Linked DNA regions of Oryzias latipes. The protein of the gene in region 1 purifies or fractionates together with the protein of each later gene. This does not show direct contact. Links are inferred from orthologs where the notes say so. Each region holds a gene or a part of one and is shown on either strand. Other genes may lie near its edges.

Evidence for each region.
Region 2: the proteins of protein argonaute-2 (region 1) and gemin4 purify together in Homo sapiens (affinity purification with western blotting; 4 studies listed by BioGRID and IntAct, with this or other methods). This does not show direct contact. The link is inferred for Oryzias latipes from reciprocal best matches to the Homo sapiens genes AGO2 and GEMIN4.

The regions. Positions count from the first base shown.
Region 1 is NC_019869.2:10,699,689-10,707,268, forward strand, and holds the start of protein argonaute-2, read left to right. Parts: upstream 1-3,024; 5' UTR 3,025-3,280; coding exon 3,281-3,299; intron 3,300-6,038; coding exon 6,039-6,219; intron 6,220-6,309; coding exon 6,310-6,430; intron 6,431-6,513; coding exon 6,514-6,695; intron 6,696-7,418; coding exon 7,419-7,555; intron 7,556-7,580. Other genes in the region: dlx5 (homeobox protein DLX-5), read right to left, coding at 1-66, 320-707.
Region 2 is NC_019871.2:19,885,280-19,892,913, reverse strand, and holds the start of gemin4 (gem-associated protein 4), read right to left. Parts: upstream 4,536-7,634; 5' UTR 4,465-4,535; coding exon 4,377-4,464; exon of another isoform or gene 4,325-4,376; coding exon of another isoform or gene 4,315-4,324; intron 3,603-4,314; coding exon 1,623-3,602; intron 1,382-1,622; coding exon 1,225-1,381; intron 1,155-1,224; coding exon 884-1,154; intron 1-883. Other genes in the region: tapasin-related protein, read left to right, coding at 4,815-4,860, 4,967-5,143, 5,214-5,489, 5,572-5,901. UniProt on the Homo sapiens protein: The SMN complex catalyzes the assembly of small nuclear ribonucleoproteins (snRNPs), the building blocks of the spliceosome, and thereby plays an important role in the splicing of cellular pre-mRNAs.

The sequences.
Region 1 (7,580 bases):
GTTTTCTCACTTTCTTCGGTTTGCCGTTCACCATCCTCACCTCTGGTTCACTAATCTCCTTTTCTGCTAAAGCAATTTAAAAAAAAAAAGCATGAGCGTCAGTCAATTTGCCAAGTTATTTTGTAAAAAAAAAAAAAAAAAAAAGCTTTTATGTGGATTAGGATGCTCCAAATTAATCCAAAAATAAAAACATATTTGAAAAGGGTAGCCTGTTTTTTTAGAATCTTTTTTCAATAAAAATAAGAAAGGATCAACAATGAAATCTCAAACGTTTATCAGTTTTTTGATAGAAATTCTGTCACAAAACGTGAAATTTTACCAAGCGTCAGTAAGGCGTTCGGGCCCGCACCTTGTGGACTTGGCTGGGGTTGTATTCTGTTGTAAGTCCCGGCATACTGGTGGTACGCGGGGGTCGTGTACGAACTGTAATCACTGTAAGACTTGGTGGAGTAATTTCCAGCAGATCCGTTGACACCCGGGTACTGGTACTGATAAGCGTTGAGAGACTTCCCGTATGAAGTGGAGCTGGGGGAGCAGTAGCCGTGAGCGACTCCACCGGCTGGACTGTAATAGCCAGAATCCGTGGCTGAGGACTCGGGTAGAGTAGGAGATTCCTGAGACGGATGATGCATGGCGGAGAGTTGAAAAGAGCTCTGGAAATCTGCAGGTTTCACACTCGGGATCCTCCGATCGAAAACTCCGGTCATGCTTAAGTGAGGCAAAATGTGAGTTCTTCTTCTTTTTTTCTTTGAATTAATAAAAAAAAGGCAATCAGGACTCTCCAAGACTACACTGTCATTGTGCTAAGAGGCTCTCAGGCCGACGGGCTCTGCTAAAGACTGCAACCAACCCTGCAGCAAAGACTTGGTTAAATCCTAAATCGCGCTCTTACGCACTGCAGGGAGGATCTGGTTCCATTGGCCAGGGTGCGCGCACACACAGCTACACCCAATGTCCTCAGCCAGCTTCCTTAAGAAGGGGGAAACCATACGGGTTCGGGTCTACATTGTTATGATTTTAATTCTTTCAATCAAGCAGAGCAATTAAAGTGTTGTAAATTCATCAGAGGTTATCAAAAATGCTCCTGCAGAAGATAAAACCGATTATGTTAACCGACTTTTATTGATGCATGTTATTTAAACAAACAAAACATTATTCTGTTCATTTATTCATAGTCAAATGCACTTATTTAGAATTTTTTCATTTTGTTTATCCTTAAAAAAAACAATACATGTTTGTTTTCTTTGTCTTTATTTAATAAAAACGTTTCACTGCTTAAATATTATTTTCCCGGAAGATTTTCTGAAAAATTAATATAGTCGAACCATTTATTCAACAAATAAACATAAATTTGCTGAACAAAAAAAATGTATTCTTAACGTTAAAATGAATAAGGCAGATCTATGGTCGGGCATTAACCCCCTTTCAGTGGTGAACAGCGCACACAAATGGAGAAACCCGGGTACTGCAATCTACTGATCACTAACAAAACAAAAACAAAAAAACCTTCTCATCATCTGACTTCTCTTTTCTGTGCGTGGGTAAAATACACTCACGGTTGTAACCCTTATAATCTACTGAAGCACGAACTCAAACGTCAAGTCACCGAGGGAGGGCGGCCTTCACTCACAGCAAGTACTGGTGCTATAATAACGCAATATACAAACATACAAGATGAAGAAACAAAAAAAATGGGAGAAATATATTGCTTTGCAGGGTTAAAGGAGACCTGTTGAATTTATACAATACTATTTTATTTTAGCTGCATTTGTATTGTAATGTTCTTAAATTTTTGCTTCAACGTCAATTCCAAAAAAAAAAAATTGCTTTTTACTAAGCTGTTCAAGGCCAACATTGTGATTCCAGCAAATGGTTTAGCTTTTTGTTAAAAGCAAGGCATGTAGTACATAGACCCTCATATTACAAACAAAAATGTTATTGTTAGGTCTATTTCTGTAAAGGGAAAACAGCCCTTTGTTTAGTATCTTTTTTAAATTCTTTTTTCTGTTTATTTTAAGTGTCCTAAATGCATTTGAAACAAAAAAAAAGAAAATTACAGAAATTTATCTAAATATTTCAAAACTCTTGTAATTTTATTATCTTGATTTTATTCTAGTTGTTTTCTTGTATGCGCATTTAAAACGTGTGCTTACCCTAACTTTGTTTATATATAAATAAATAACTTTGAAAAAACAAAACAAAGAAAAAAAATGTTCGTAGTAAAAAAAAAAAATCAGCTACAAATACCCCGGAAATACTTACCCATCTTTACTTATCTGTTTCCGGTTTATTCCCCCTTTTTTCCTTCTTTTTTTGCCTGTAGCAAAATGTAGCCTCTGTGCTTTTATAAAAAAAAAAAAGAATAAGTTAATAGTGACATATGTTTGGTAATTTGTCGTTCTTTAGACTGCAAATACAAATCGAAATTTTGAAGCAGAGAATTTGAATTGACCTCTGACGTCACTAAAGATCGACATACTCTAATTTAATCGACATGAATCTTTCGATCGCAGTTTCACAGATAATGTTATAACTCTCACTCATTCATGGTCATAATATGACTGGAAGTCGTTCACTCAGTTAAATAAATAATTGTTTTTAGTATAAATAAATAAACAAAAATAACAAAACACCAAAAATAACTTTAAGATATGTTTACTGATATTTACTGATCATACTTTAACTCTTTGAACTTACTATAAAAAGTTTCTGTTTTCTTTATATCTTTTTTTCTTACTCTTTATGTCTGTAAAGAAAGACTAACTGTCGGTAATTAGTCATATCTATGGATATAAAGGCATCAAAGAATCTTCGTCGACTTTTTTTCATTGCCTTGCTACGTTTATTTTGATAAATTTACCTCATGTGAAATGATCGCAGTAAAACACATTTTTAAACATATAACATTTACATAACCTGGAATTAGGTTTAATTGTGCGTTTTGTAGAGCCAAAGCAAAGAATGTCCCATGTTTGAGCTGGCCAATGCGGCTTAAAGCGGAAGTACACGGCAGGGAGTTCTCTTGGTCCGCGCTTCTGATTTCTGTTTACTCTCTGCTTCTCCCGTTTGTGTGGTAGGGGGATGGGGTCCTGCCGAGGATGAGCGACTCCAAATATTTACCACTGGGCTGACTAAAAAGCTTTATTTTTTACCTTAGTTTTCTCATTTTTTTATTGGGCGCATAGATACTTGTTGTCTACGCATGAGTTTGGCCACAGCTCCGCCTTTGTAAAGTGGAGCATCTGTACGTCCACAACAAACGCTACAAAAAGTCGACAAAATGTATCCTGCTGGAGGAGGTAAGCTACCGTTAGCATCGGCTAAAAGATGCGGCTTAAGAAAATGACAAAAACAGACGCGTTCTCTGCATTGTTGTAACACATGGCAACAACAGTTAGTGAAAAACCATTCAGTTTTGTTTTATTTGAAAAATTGTTAATAAATACCCACATATGTTGTGACAAAGAATCCTCACTCGCTCAACGAGCTTAGCTAAATTACAGCAACTGCTAGCCGGGTTAGCTTGCATGGCGCTTTGGTTTCCCACAAAAATTCTACTAATACCTTCGTGAATATATATATTTTTTAAGTTTAACAACCATTTAGCAAAGCACACGTTTGTTTGGGTAGTGATAAATAGAAAAAAATGTCTATTTATATTCGTCTCTATTAAAATTAACGTGATAACGGGTGGCCACGCCATGATCTGTTCCTCAATCTAACACTATACTTATTACACTTGATGTAAATTTAGATATAAAAATAACTATTTTATTTAACTGAAATGACACTGACGTTGTTGAACAAAAACGTTGCCATCGAAGGTTAAAATAACAGATCACTCAATCTTGTGTTTATCAAGTTCAAATTTATTTCATTAACCGTTTAGAACCAAGTATATATAATTGTTTGTATTTAACATTTTAATATTTAAAACGTATTACAAAGTGTTTGATTCTAACAAACCCAGTAGCCTCCTGGATCGTAATATTTTAAGTTTTAAGCTCCCAATTTGTTATAATAATACTTAAATATTTAGAGATGCTGCAGAAGATTCAGAATTTGTCACCAATCGTCGTTCATGTGCTTCTGGTAGTTTGGAGAGAGAAGGAATGAGGAAAAGAATGTAGATCTCGTCTAAATAAATGAGTTCTTATCAGAATAAAAGCTATTTGTCAAAGCTAAATGGTTGTTTTTTAATCATTAATTTTCTCATGTAGAAAACAAATATATCTAAATGTTTTTTTTGTTTACATAGTCAGGAGGGGGGAAAACCTATCAAGCTGGTAGATGAGCGAAGCTCATAGAACAGGTTTTTGGCGGTAAGCTAAAACTTTAGGAAAAAATGCTGCAGTGGGGGGCTATTTACAGGGGTTTGGGTGTCTTCTGTTGTGTGAGATTGCCAGCTTGTTTAATACCTTCTGTGTGTAAGTTGATAAGACTTCCTTGATTATGGGCTGTGGTACTGTAAAAGTGATAAGCAAGTGAGACCTCCTAAAATGAACCAAGTGAATTCTTTTGAATTTCACTGCAAAACATGATTATTGTTACTTTTGCAGTGGTGTTCATGACATTAATTAAGTACAGTTTCTAAAAAGGGACATTTTCACATCTCATAGGGTTTTGAACGTTCGTACTGCAAATGTTTTCTTTAGGCACTGAAGTATTATCTCTCCATAAATAAAGTCAAATGCTTCTCCTACAAAAACTGTTTAGGGATTTGGGTTTAACAACATAATGCGTCAAATTGACACCAAAAAGGCAAGGCTATACAAGATACTCCTGTTTTGATAATAACTTTACAGGTACTGATCACTAGACCAGTGTTTTTCAAGCTTTTTTGAGCCACGGCACACGTTAACCTTGACAAAAATCCCGCGGCACACCAGCATCCAAAAAAAAAAGGAGAAACTCATAGTCAGTATTGATCTATAGCCCCTCCGCTATCTCACATGCATTTTTATGATAATTGTGGCAGAAAAAGCAGGAAGTTGCAGCTTCTAAAAGATGTAATAAAAGTTAAGTTACAAGATTTAAAAACTGTTTGTGTGTTCGTTGTGGTTTTCAAGACGTGTAACAGGTAAGACTCATTGTACGCTGAGATGCTGTCACTTTAACCCAATGGATCATGGGAGATGTAGTGCAAATAGCCGCCGAACCCAGACAGACTAGCGTCTCTGAGCTTCATAGTTTTGCTCACTTGTTCCACGGTCTGATACCGGATTCTGTGGAAAGCTACACTGATAAAGACGAGATTTAGCTGGTATTTTTTGTTAGAACTGAGCAACTTTATGAGCAGAATTGGAACAAGGAAGTGAAGCCTTTAACCACTTTTGATTGGTCAGACTGATGACGTGTGATTGAGCCTCCAAGAATGATTGGTGGAGACAGTTAAAGGGGCGGGACTTTTCCTAAAACAGCTTTAGCTGCAGCTAAATCGCGATACCGTTATTCTTATCAAAATGTCTTAATTAAATAAACACAAAGAAAAAAGTATTATATGATCTTTCATATTCCTAACTACTCAGTGTTTTATCAGGGCCTGTCTGGATGAACCCAGAGCTGATATCCTGGAGATGGGAAATGTTTTTAGATCAGTTAATGGGGGCAATTTCCCAGCACACTGGTTGAAAAACACGGCACTAGACAACACTCCTAGAATCCACCTCGGGAAAAAAACAGGACAGTGTTCTTTTCTAAATGTTCTAAAAGGCATTTATTTTGTGTTTCTTTTGAGCATTTAACATATTTTTGTGACACTGTCTGGTGTACGAGAGCTTTTAAAGTTTATGATTGACCTGTTGTTGGCCGTTTTTTGATTTGGTATGCAACGTCAAGCTCCCATTTCCTCTGGAGTCTTATGGTCACAAAATGTTTACATGCATGCAGATGCAAGCCGTTGCTTGTTCCTGCTTTCAAACTGGTTCTTGCAAACTTACCTCAGGGCCGTAAAGCACATTTTCACTTTGTGTGTGTAGTAATAATGTTGTTTCAACTGTTGCGTTTTTTGTTGTTGTTGTTGTTGTTGTTTTTTGTAGAGCCCCCATCTTCCCCAGTGCCAGAATATGTGTTCAAGCCGCCATCACGGCCAGACTTTGGCACCATGGGCAGGACAATCAAGCTCCAGGCCAATTTCTTTGAGATGGAAATCCCAAAATTGGAGGTTTACCATTACGACATAGACATCAAACCTGAAAAATGCCCCAGAAGGGTGAATCGGTGAGTTCAAAGTCTGCTTTTTTTTAAACTCTCATCAGAATTGTGTGTAATTTTATGGGGATTGTCTTGACTCGCCTAATTTGTCTGCAGAGAAATTGTGGAGCACATGGTCCAGCACTTTAAAACTCAGATCTTTGGGGACCGGAAGCCGGTGTACGACGGGCGAAAGAACCTCTACACTGCCATGGCTTTGCCCATAGGCAGAGAAAAGGTTTGTTGTTTACATTATAGTTGAAACGATTTCCTCTCAATGTTAAAATGTCTCAGCAGTGGCATTTTGTATGAACCATGTAGGTGGAGCTGGAGGTGACTATTCCAGGCGAAGGCAAAGACCGCAGTTTTAAAGTTGCCATCAAATGGGTGTCTTGCGTTAGCCTGCAAGCTCTGCACGAAGCTCTGTCAGGGCGGCTTCCCAGTGTTCCCTTTGAGACTATCCAAGCCTTGGATGTGGTCATGAGACATTTGCCTTCTATGAGGTAGGTCTCTAATTGTTGTTGGAAGGATCGCCATTTCCTGTTTTGGTCTAGCTCTCTTATGTGGCCAAATGATGCCTAAGCAGTGCACAGCCGCTGCCTGTTTCCTCATGGAATTAGTTAAGATTATCACTTCTTGATTAGGATTAAACAAGATGCCACAAGCACACTACAGGAAAGTCAGCTGAATATATCAAATCTGAATTTAGTTTTTTTAAATAATGTGCCATGAGTTTGTGTTCAAGACCCAATCTGATGAAACTGGTGTTTTTAACATTTTCTGATGATTGAGAAAATGTATAAATAATAGTAAGCTCAAATGGGGGAGGAGCAGGTGGCAGGAGAGCCTGAAAACAGAGAGCTCTCAGCAACCGGGAGGGAAAATGGAGGCGGGGTTGCTCCACGCCAATAGTCCCAGTCACGTCAGAGAGGCACATTTCTAATCAACTCCTGCTTCTCTGGAGAAACTGTCCTAGAAAACCATACAGGTTTATTGATTTTAACTGAAAACGGCACAATCCTAATTTAAAGAGCCGTGCTCAAAGAGCTGCTGAAGCAGTGACGGCACACTGAGCGCCACATGGTGCACTTCAGTTCTATGCAACAAGCCTTTTGAAAGGAAACCGTTTCCATCTTGGTTCAGAACCGTTTGAAAACGGAGATGATCAGAGTGGGACTTTAAACCTCTCCTTACCAGACGTCTTATCACCGACTGTTGTCTTTTAGGTATACCCCTGTTGGGCGGTCTTTCTTTACTCCTTCAGAAGCTTGCTCAAACCCTCTGGGAGGTGGCAGAGAAGTGTGGTTTGGTTTCCATCAGTCGGTCAGGCCCTCCCTGTGGAAAATGATGCTCAACATCGACGGTAAAGTCTGCATCATATCACTTTG
Region 2 (7,634 bases), on another chromosome or scaffold:
TTCACAGCTCCAATCCGATATATCTATGAAAGACTTGGTGTCATAGTATTCCAGCCGACACAAACAACAATTATTCATTCCCCTCCATGATCAACTTTCAAACAGTTGCTACGTCCATGGCTTAAAGGGACGCCATCCATTCTTCACTACCAAATCCAAGTCCCTGATTGATCAAAGTTTGACACGGTTTCATTTTCAACGGCGTTCAATAACCTTGCACTTTGTACACAGAGCCTGAAAATGGTCGTACAAGTTTAAACGCGAGAGTTTTGAACACTGAAGCCAGAAGTGTGCCTTTCCATGCGTTTACATTGACTTTTTTTTGGAAGTGGTCATTTGAACGTGCACTGTTGAGGGCGGTCTGAATATATCTCGAGTCCCAACTGCCCTAATTCGTGGGCACGGGCTGTCTGCAGGTGAAAATGCTCAAACCTGTACGGGGCACACAGGTGGCCCACACAAAATATCCAGGTGGCAGACCGCTCTGTGAATCCAGAAAGAGAAAAAGTTCATGCACATTTTTCTACGGGCATGCTGCAGGCGACGGGTCGTAGTGAACACCGACAACACGTAAGGGTCAGTAAGGGTGAAGGAGTTGAGAAGCAGGCATGTTGTACAAATGAGTTTGAAGATGCAGCGGCGATGGATCAAACCCCCTATGGATGTACGTGTCTACAGCTTTGTTTATAAAAGAGTCTTGATTATGTTTTTTTTTATTTAAACAGCAAAACAGTCTTTTTTAGCAAGGATTCACTTGATGAAGGGATAACCCTTTTTAATCGAGACACCAACTTGTGTCGGTGGGTTTTTGGTTCTGTGTCCGTGTCCCACTTTAGGCCTTTGCCGTTCAATGGACTGGGACTTGGGCTGCAGGAGTTCTCACCTGCTCAGGCAGATCGCACACATCCAGCAGAGATGAGGGCACCTCGTTTTTAAAGTGCTGCCCCCACAACGGCTTCAGGTGGAACCGAACCGTCCAGTCCAACTCCTCCAGTTTGTTGTAGAGCCAGAAGAGGGCTCTGGACCAGCTACTGGGGGCGGCTGCCACTTCTGCACCCACCACTTGCCCCACTGTGGTCATCACAGACACCAGAAGCTCCTTGGTGTCCACAGAGCAGAGGCGGACGCCACCTTTTGGCGGTTCCTCCCAAAACCTGGCAGAAAGCAGACGAATTACAGGAGAACTCCAAGGAAGACTCAACGAAATCTTATCCCAACAAACACCTGAGGTTTTGGTCGTGGATCTGAGCGAGAACAAAAAGGAGGGGAAAAGGAGAACAGTCCATCAGCCAGTGAGAGCTGGAGGCTCCTGGCTGCACATCCAAGGACAAAGCTGTGTGAAGAAGCTGCAGACTCAACTCTGCATCCACAGAGGAGGAACCTGAGCAGATGTGGAGAACGGATGAAGAACATGTGACGTATTATGTAAAATGTTGAATTCTGATAAATCAAAGTGTACAAAAATAAAACGACTTAGTCATTAGAGGCTATAACAGATGAGGAGCTCATGAACGTTGCACCACTTCTAACAGTTCAAACTGATGATTCTGACACCAAATTTCAGAATAAAAGATTCTTAAGAGTCTTCTTCAAATGTCAGGAACATTGTAAAGGATCCTCACCTACAGATGAAAGGTTAGGGAGGACGAAGGTGTTTATAACCTCCTGAGGTGACAGGAAGCTTTGTTCCTTTCCCTCGTCCACGTTTGGACCCATCAGCAGACCGAGGAATTTGGCAAACTGTTCCTTCTCGTTGGCTGACAGGGACTTGTCCTTGACCGTCTGGTGTAGGCACCTGCAGAGCAGACTAGAGGTCCCGTCTTTAGCCGTGTTCTCCTCTCCGCTCCTCCTTCCATCTCCATCTCCTCCTCTCTGACCGCTGAGTCCAGGCAGATGCTGCAGGATCTTTGCCATCATCGAAAATGCTCCTTTATTGAAAACAGCTGAGTGGCAGCAGGACCGTAAGGCGCCTTCTGGGTTCTGAAAAGCCACTCTGGCTACGAGTGAGACGGCCGTGGTCAGGTTCCCTTGAGGAACAGCTGAGGACGCTCCACTTCCTGCTTGGATGATGCAGTTGAAGGCCATGTTGAGCTCCTGCTCAAACCCTCCAGCCACCTCAGGAGGAACGGGGAATTCGAAGAAGCCCTTCCTAGACAATCTTAACATGGACACCAAGGCTTTGTTCATGTCTTCTAAGGAAAGGCTGGAGAAGATATCTGCTATGATTTTCATCAGCTTTCTGCACTGGCTGACGTCTGCATTCTCCATGCGTAGTTTGTTCATTAGAGTAGAGGAGAGGCCGATCACGGCGTCATGCTGACGGAAGGAAGCTTGGCTCCTCTCCAGGCAATCCATCCAGCCTTCATCACAGTGCGTCCAGGGCGGCTCTCTGGCAAACAAGGCAGCGAAGCTCTCGTGGTCTTCCAGGCGGTGAGTGATGATGGTGGAGAGCACCTGAGCATGCACCTCAGGGCTGCTCTCTGTGACAGGAAGAACCAGAGACTTCAGCACAGCCACGAGCAGGTTCTTCTCTGTCGCTGCTGTGGGAGCTTCTTCCAGAGCAGTGGAGACTCTCTGGACACTTTGCTCCAGCTGGAAAGCAGAGTAGGAGGAGCGAGAGCCGTCCTGGACGTCCAAGAGTCCTCGGTCTTTCCAAGACTGACTAAGTTCTGCTATGACCCTCAGAGCTTCACCCAGATCCATCCTCCTGACTTTGAACTGAGACGGGGAAATCGAAGCCCGTAAATGTCTCTGAGCTTCTTCAACAAGTTCAGGTTGAAGTTTTTCATTCTTTCCTTTAGTACTGATGGCTTTACACAGGATGTCCATCTTCTCCTGAGCTGATAGAACAACTTCTCGGTCTATCAGAAATGATGTAAAAAGAGCATCAAGGGACATGGAGAGAGACTGGAAGCACAGGTCTAATGAGGAGACGTGATCTGCCATGTCTTTGAGGGCATTGAGGAGAATGTGGAAAACATCAGCCTCTGCTGAGTCTTGTGTCTCCAGCTTTAACCTCTTGGCAGCCTGAGGAGACAAACTAGAAGACATGGAGGTGAGACGAGCAACCTGCTTGGCAAACATCATCTCCATGCTCTCGTCGTTTCTGAGCTTGGCTTGCTCTTGGCCTTTCCACAGCTCCCGCCACATCTCTAGAAAGAAATGAACATCCTCTTCGCTTGTAGGCTCGCTCTTCACATGCTCTACCAGCCTCTTCAGCTCCAAGCAGATCAAATCTTCAGGAAGATGAAGGAGAAAACCTGCGTAAACATGTGAAGCAGCAGCGTTCTTCACCAACTCCAACAGGACAACATGGTTAACTTCAGGGAGGCTCTGCTGGAAGGAAAAAAAGGGGTTCTCCCTCCACGCTCTCTCAACATCCTCCTCAGCGCTCAAGAGCTTCAGCCACACAGCACAGACCACCTTCTTCGTCCAGGTCGAGCTGTGATGACCGTCAGCTTCCTCCAGTTCACAGACTTCCTGCAGAGCCTGTAGGATCGGGCGTCCCGCCGCGATCCAGTCGGATTTGTTCACGCAGGATAGAAATGAGGGGCGACACAGTTTGTCTGCCAGCAGGAAAGCCCCCTGCAGAACCGCAGAGCCTGAAATCACATGACATAATCAGAGCCCTGAAGTGCCAATCACATCATCATATCAATGTAAAGACATCTTAAAGATAACAACAACAAAAGCAATAAAATAACAAGAAAACGTTACATTTGATAAATCTAAACAAAATTAAAGCGGGGGGTGGGGTGGGGTGTCAAGTTTTCATTCAAATATGCAGTAAGAAACAAGAATTGCAAAAACAATTTTGTTTTTGCATTCCAGGACTGCTGTGTGATGTTTTAAAACAGTAATTTGTGGATGTGATTTGAACTTCAGGGCCACCGTATCCACAGATAAAAACACCAAAGCTTCTTCTCAACTTTCAGATATGATCTCCAATAAATAACTCAGTTTTCATGGACAGAGCCATATAGTTTTTATTGTGTTTAATGTGTGAGTGTTTGTGTGCGTTCGTCTTTATGTCAGGATCAGTGTAGATCTTGTTGTTATTCACCTTTTGCCAAATCCCTTCAGGGGATCCATATGTCATTCATTTTACCACACCAAACTCAGTTTCCCACAATTCAAAGCGGTTCACCGCGTGTGTAAATCGGTATGAATGCGTCGTGTGTTGGAAAAACAATTTAAATTAAAAAACATTGCTTTTCTTTATTAAATAATATTTTCTTTTGTAAGAATTTATTTTAACTTAAAGTCAGTGACTTAACTGGTCTACAGAGAGAGTAAAAATAAAAGCTATTTTACCTTTGTCCATTATCACCGTGATAATTGTTGCGTGCAGGTAAATACCAGTGTAATCCGTTTACCTGGAAACTCTCTAAACGCGCCGTTACGTTCACGGTTTCCGAAGTTTAAAGTTAGATTTCTGAAACAACATAATCCAACTAAAAACATCCACAGCAGAACTGCGCAGCCGCAAACACGCTTCCGCCATGCGACGCATATACCGGATGTTTGTTCACAGCGACGCACCCGGATAAATTCGGTACTGCAGTTTTAACGTTTTTCTTCGGAGCGAGATTTAAATATTTTACATCAGATTTAAACGTCATTTCATTTGTTATTGTGTTTATGAATATATATAAAAATGTTTTTTTTTTGTTATGGTTTTAATCTTGTAGGTCATGTGACGCGAGCTAAAGGCAAATCGTTTTTTTTCTGCAGAAGTGAAAATGAAAGTACTTTTTAGATCCTGGCTGCTGGTAGAAACAAGGTGAACCAAGAAATTCAATTGAATAATCAAAATGGGAGTATTTCAGAAAGTTGTTATTTACTTTTATGTGATTGGAGGTAAGTTATTTTAAAGTATGTTTGCAGCTGTTCTATCAGTTAGTTCATGAAAGGAACTAAATTTAAATGAAGGGTGTGTTTAATGTTAGTTTTTCTGTGTTCTCAGTTGTGAGGAGCGTTCAGCAGATACCATGGCTGTCATGTCAGTTCACTGACGAACATGTGTCCAACAACAGTGAAGGACACATTGAGACACAGCTCATTCCCAGAGAGGCTATGGTTCAGTTTGGTCTAAAAGGAGACGCTCCTGTCAATCCCCACGCCATCACCTTCCTGATCACTGGTGAGCTTCTGTCCAAGACACGAATCGGGGCAGGAAAGAATTACATTCATGACTTTTTATGTTGCTTTAGTTTCAAAACTGGACCTGCAGCGGTCCATTGAAGGGGTGGAGGTAGAGGAGTTGGAGTGTGAGGTCCGACGGTACAGCACAGAGGGCATCCATGTCCGCTGGCCCGCCCTGGGGGCAGAGGGGTACAACCGCTGGTACACCTGCATCCTCAGACACAGAAAGGACAAGTTCAGCGTCACTGCTTTCCTCAGACATCCGTCTGACCAACCTCCTCCAGGACAGCAGGACTACCGCAGCTGGCCGCCCATCGCCGACCGAGAGGTTCTTACCACCACAGGTAGGTGTCCCCTTCATCTGACGCTGCTTCTGCATGTCAGAACGAAGGCCTGTAAGAGGGTTCATCCTATTTGTGTCCATAGTCGCCATGTTGCTGAAAACAGAGACTCCATCTGTGAAAGTCAGACTACGCTCGCAGCCCAAACTCCACTGTCAGTTCAGCATCGACCACCGAGGCCCAAACGTCACCGTGGAGTGGCACTGGCAGTCCCGCGGAGAGAGAAGGATGCTCTTCCGCTACAACAGCCGCTCCGGGGAGATTCATGGCTCTGGAGTTGGGAAGAAGGCCCTGGCTGGGGGAGATGCCTCCTACACTCTCCCCTTCACCAAGATGAGCAGCGAAGGAAGCTACATTTGTTCTTTGACTGTGAACCCGCTTTTCGCCAACATGGAGCTCAACCTGCACGTCGAGGGTGAGGAGATGATCTAAAACCTGTAATCTGTCCTCTTCTTTTACCATCAGCGGTCGCACTGCTACAGTGTTGGTGATCCAGCTGAAAACATCTGTTCCTCTTCTTCAGCCTCTTAAGGCTAGAAGAAAACAGTGTTTGAGTTTATTTCTGGGATTTGTGTCACATCTGACTTTTGTTTTGTTTTGTTTTGTTTTACTGTTTTTTATGTGGGAAGTAAAAAAAAAAAAACACAAATGCTTCCAAATGTGACCTTTTCAGAAAAGGTCTGGAGTTGCTGTTATTGCATCATTTGCTGAGGGTTCTTATCTGTACTGAGTGTTTTGTTGCTGCTGGAAAAAGAAAAGCTTTTATTTTGAAAGAAAGTCTCTTAAACTTTCAACAATTCAAATTAAATTAACCCTTATTTAAAATTAGGAGTTGTATACGTGTGACCTGAGATGGGTAAAAACAAAAGAAACGTGTTCCCACGAAATCATTAATTTGTTCTGGGCCTGTGCAATAAATCGCAAATTTAGCGTTATCGCAATATCAAGCTGTGCAATATGCTTATCGCAAAAGACAGCAATAAGCGGTTACCTTAAATTTGCAAAAACAATCTTATGGCAGTTTGAACTATTTAGCGAATCAAATAAATCTATTTATGCATTTGACCAATCGGATGGAGCTCTTTCATGTTAGATATTTGCCTCCTTATGTAGACGAGGGTCATTTGGAGTATAATTTAAATTATGTTGACTCTTTCTTCCATTAAACTGTTGCAGTGTAATGGAAATTATGTTTTTGGTCGTTTTGCTATTTTCTTTCATGTTTCTCAAGTTATAGCGTCATCGCAATATTGATCGCTAATATCGCGAGTTTTACTCATATCATGCAGAAAAATAAAAACAAGAATCAAACTAGGGGATCTATATATTATTGTCTCGATGAAAATAAGAAAAATATCGAATATCGAAGGCCCGAGCTGACTTCTTCCCCCTACCACAGCGGCTCTCCGTCTGCCGGTGTAGGTACCATAAGCATTCGGCCTGCAACAACCGTTCGGGGTCCTTCGACTAGTGCTGACGTCACATTATGGGATTGGCTGTCCGTTGACGTATCGGATAATTAAAACTACAATAGAAGAAGATATTATGCGGTCCATTGTAAACAAACAGAGCTCTGACATGGAGTGAGATTATCTTCTAAATGTTCTTTTATTATTGTTAAGATTCTTATTAAGTGCATTTGCAGCCGAACGGACTGCGGTCCGAAGCCTTCTCCGGACCGAACACTATAACAAATCATATTCCCTGCCTGCGAACACGAAGCTACGAGACTCCAGTTGCTCCAATCAGAGATACGGTTCTCTAGCGTGGAACAGCAGGTTCATTCTAACAGCCACAGATCTTTTTACAAAGTGGGTTGTGGCAAAATCTCTCCATAAACACTGCAAAGAATAATGTCAGACACAACTTATGAGGGAAAATAACTTTGGGTTACAAAAGGAAATGTGAAATGAAAATATGTAGAGCCCGAGCAGATCTCCGCGCTATGTAGTTTGTCCAAGTGGGGATACCGTAGTGTGATGTTATCCTCAGTCGAAAGGACCCCGAACGGTTATTGCAGGCCGAACGGTTATGGTACCTACACCGGCCAGCCAGCTGCCCAGATTCCGGTATGACAAGCAAAAGAGCTCTGGCCGTGGAGCTCGTTTGCTTGTAAAATGGAATACGTGCATCACACATATCCCATAA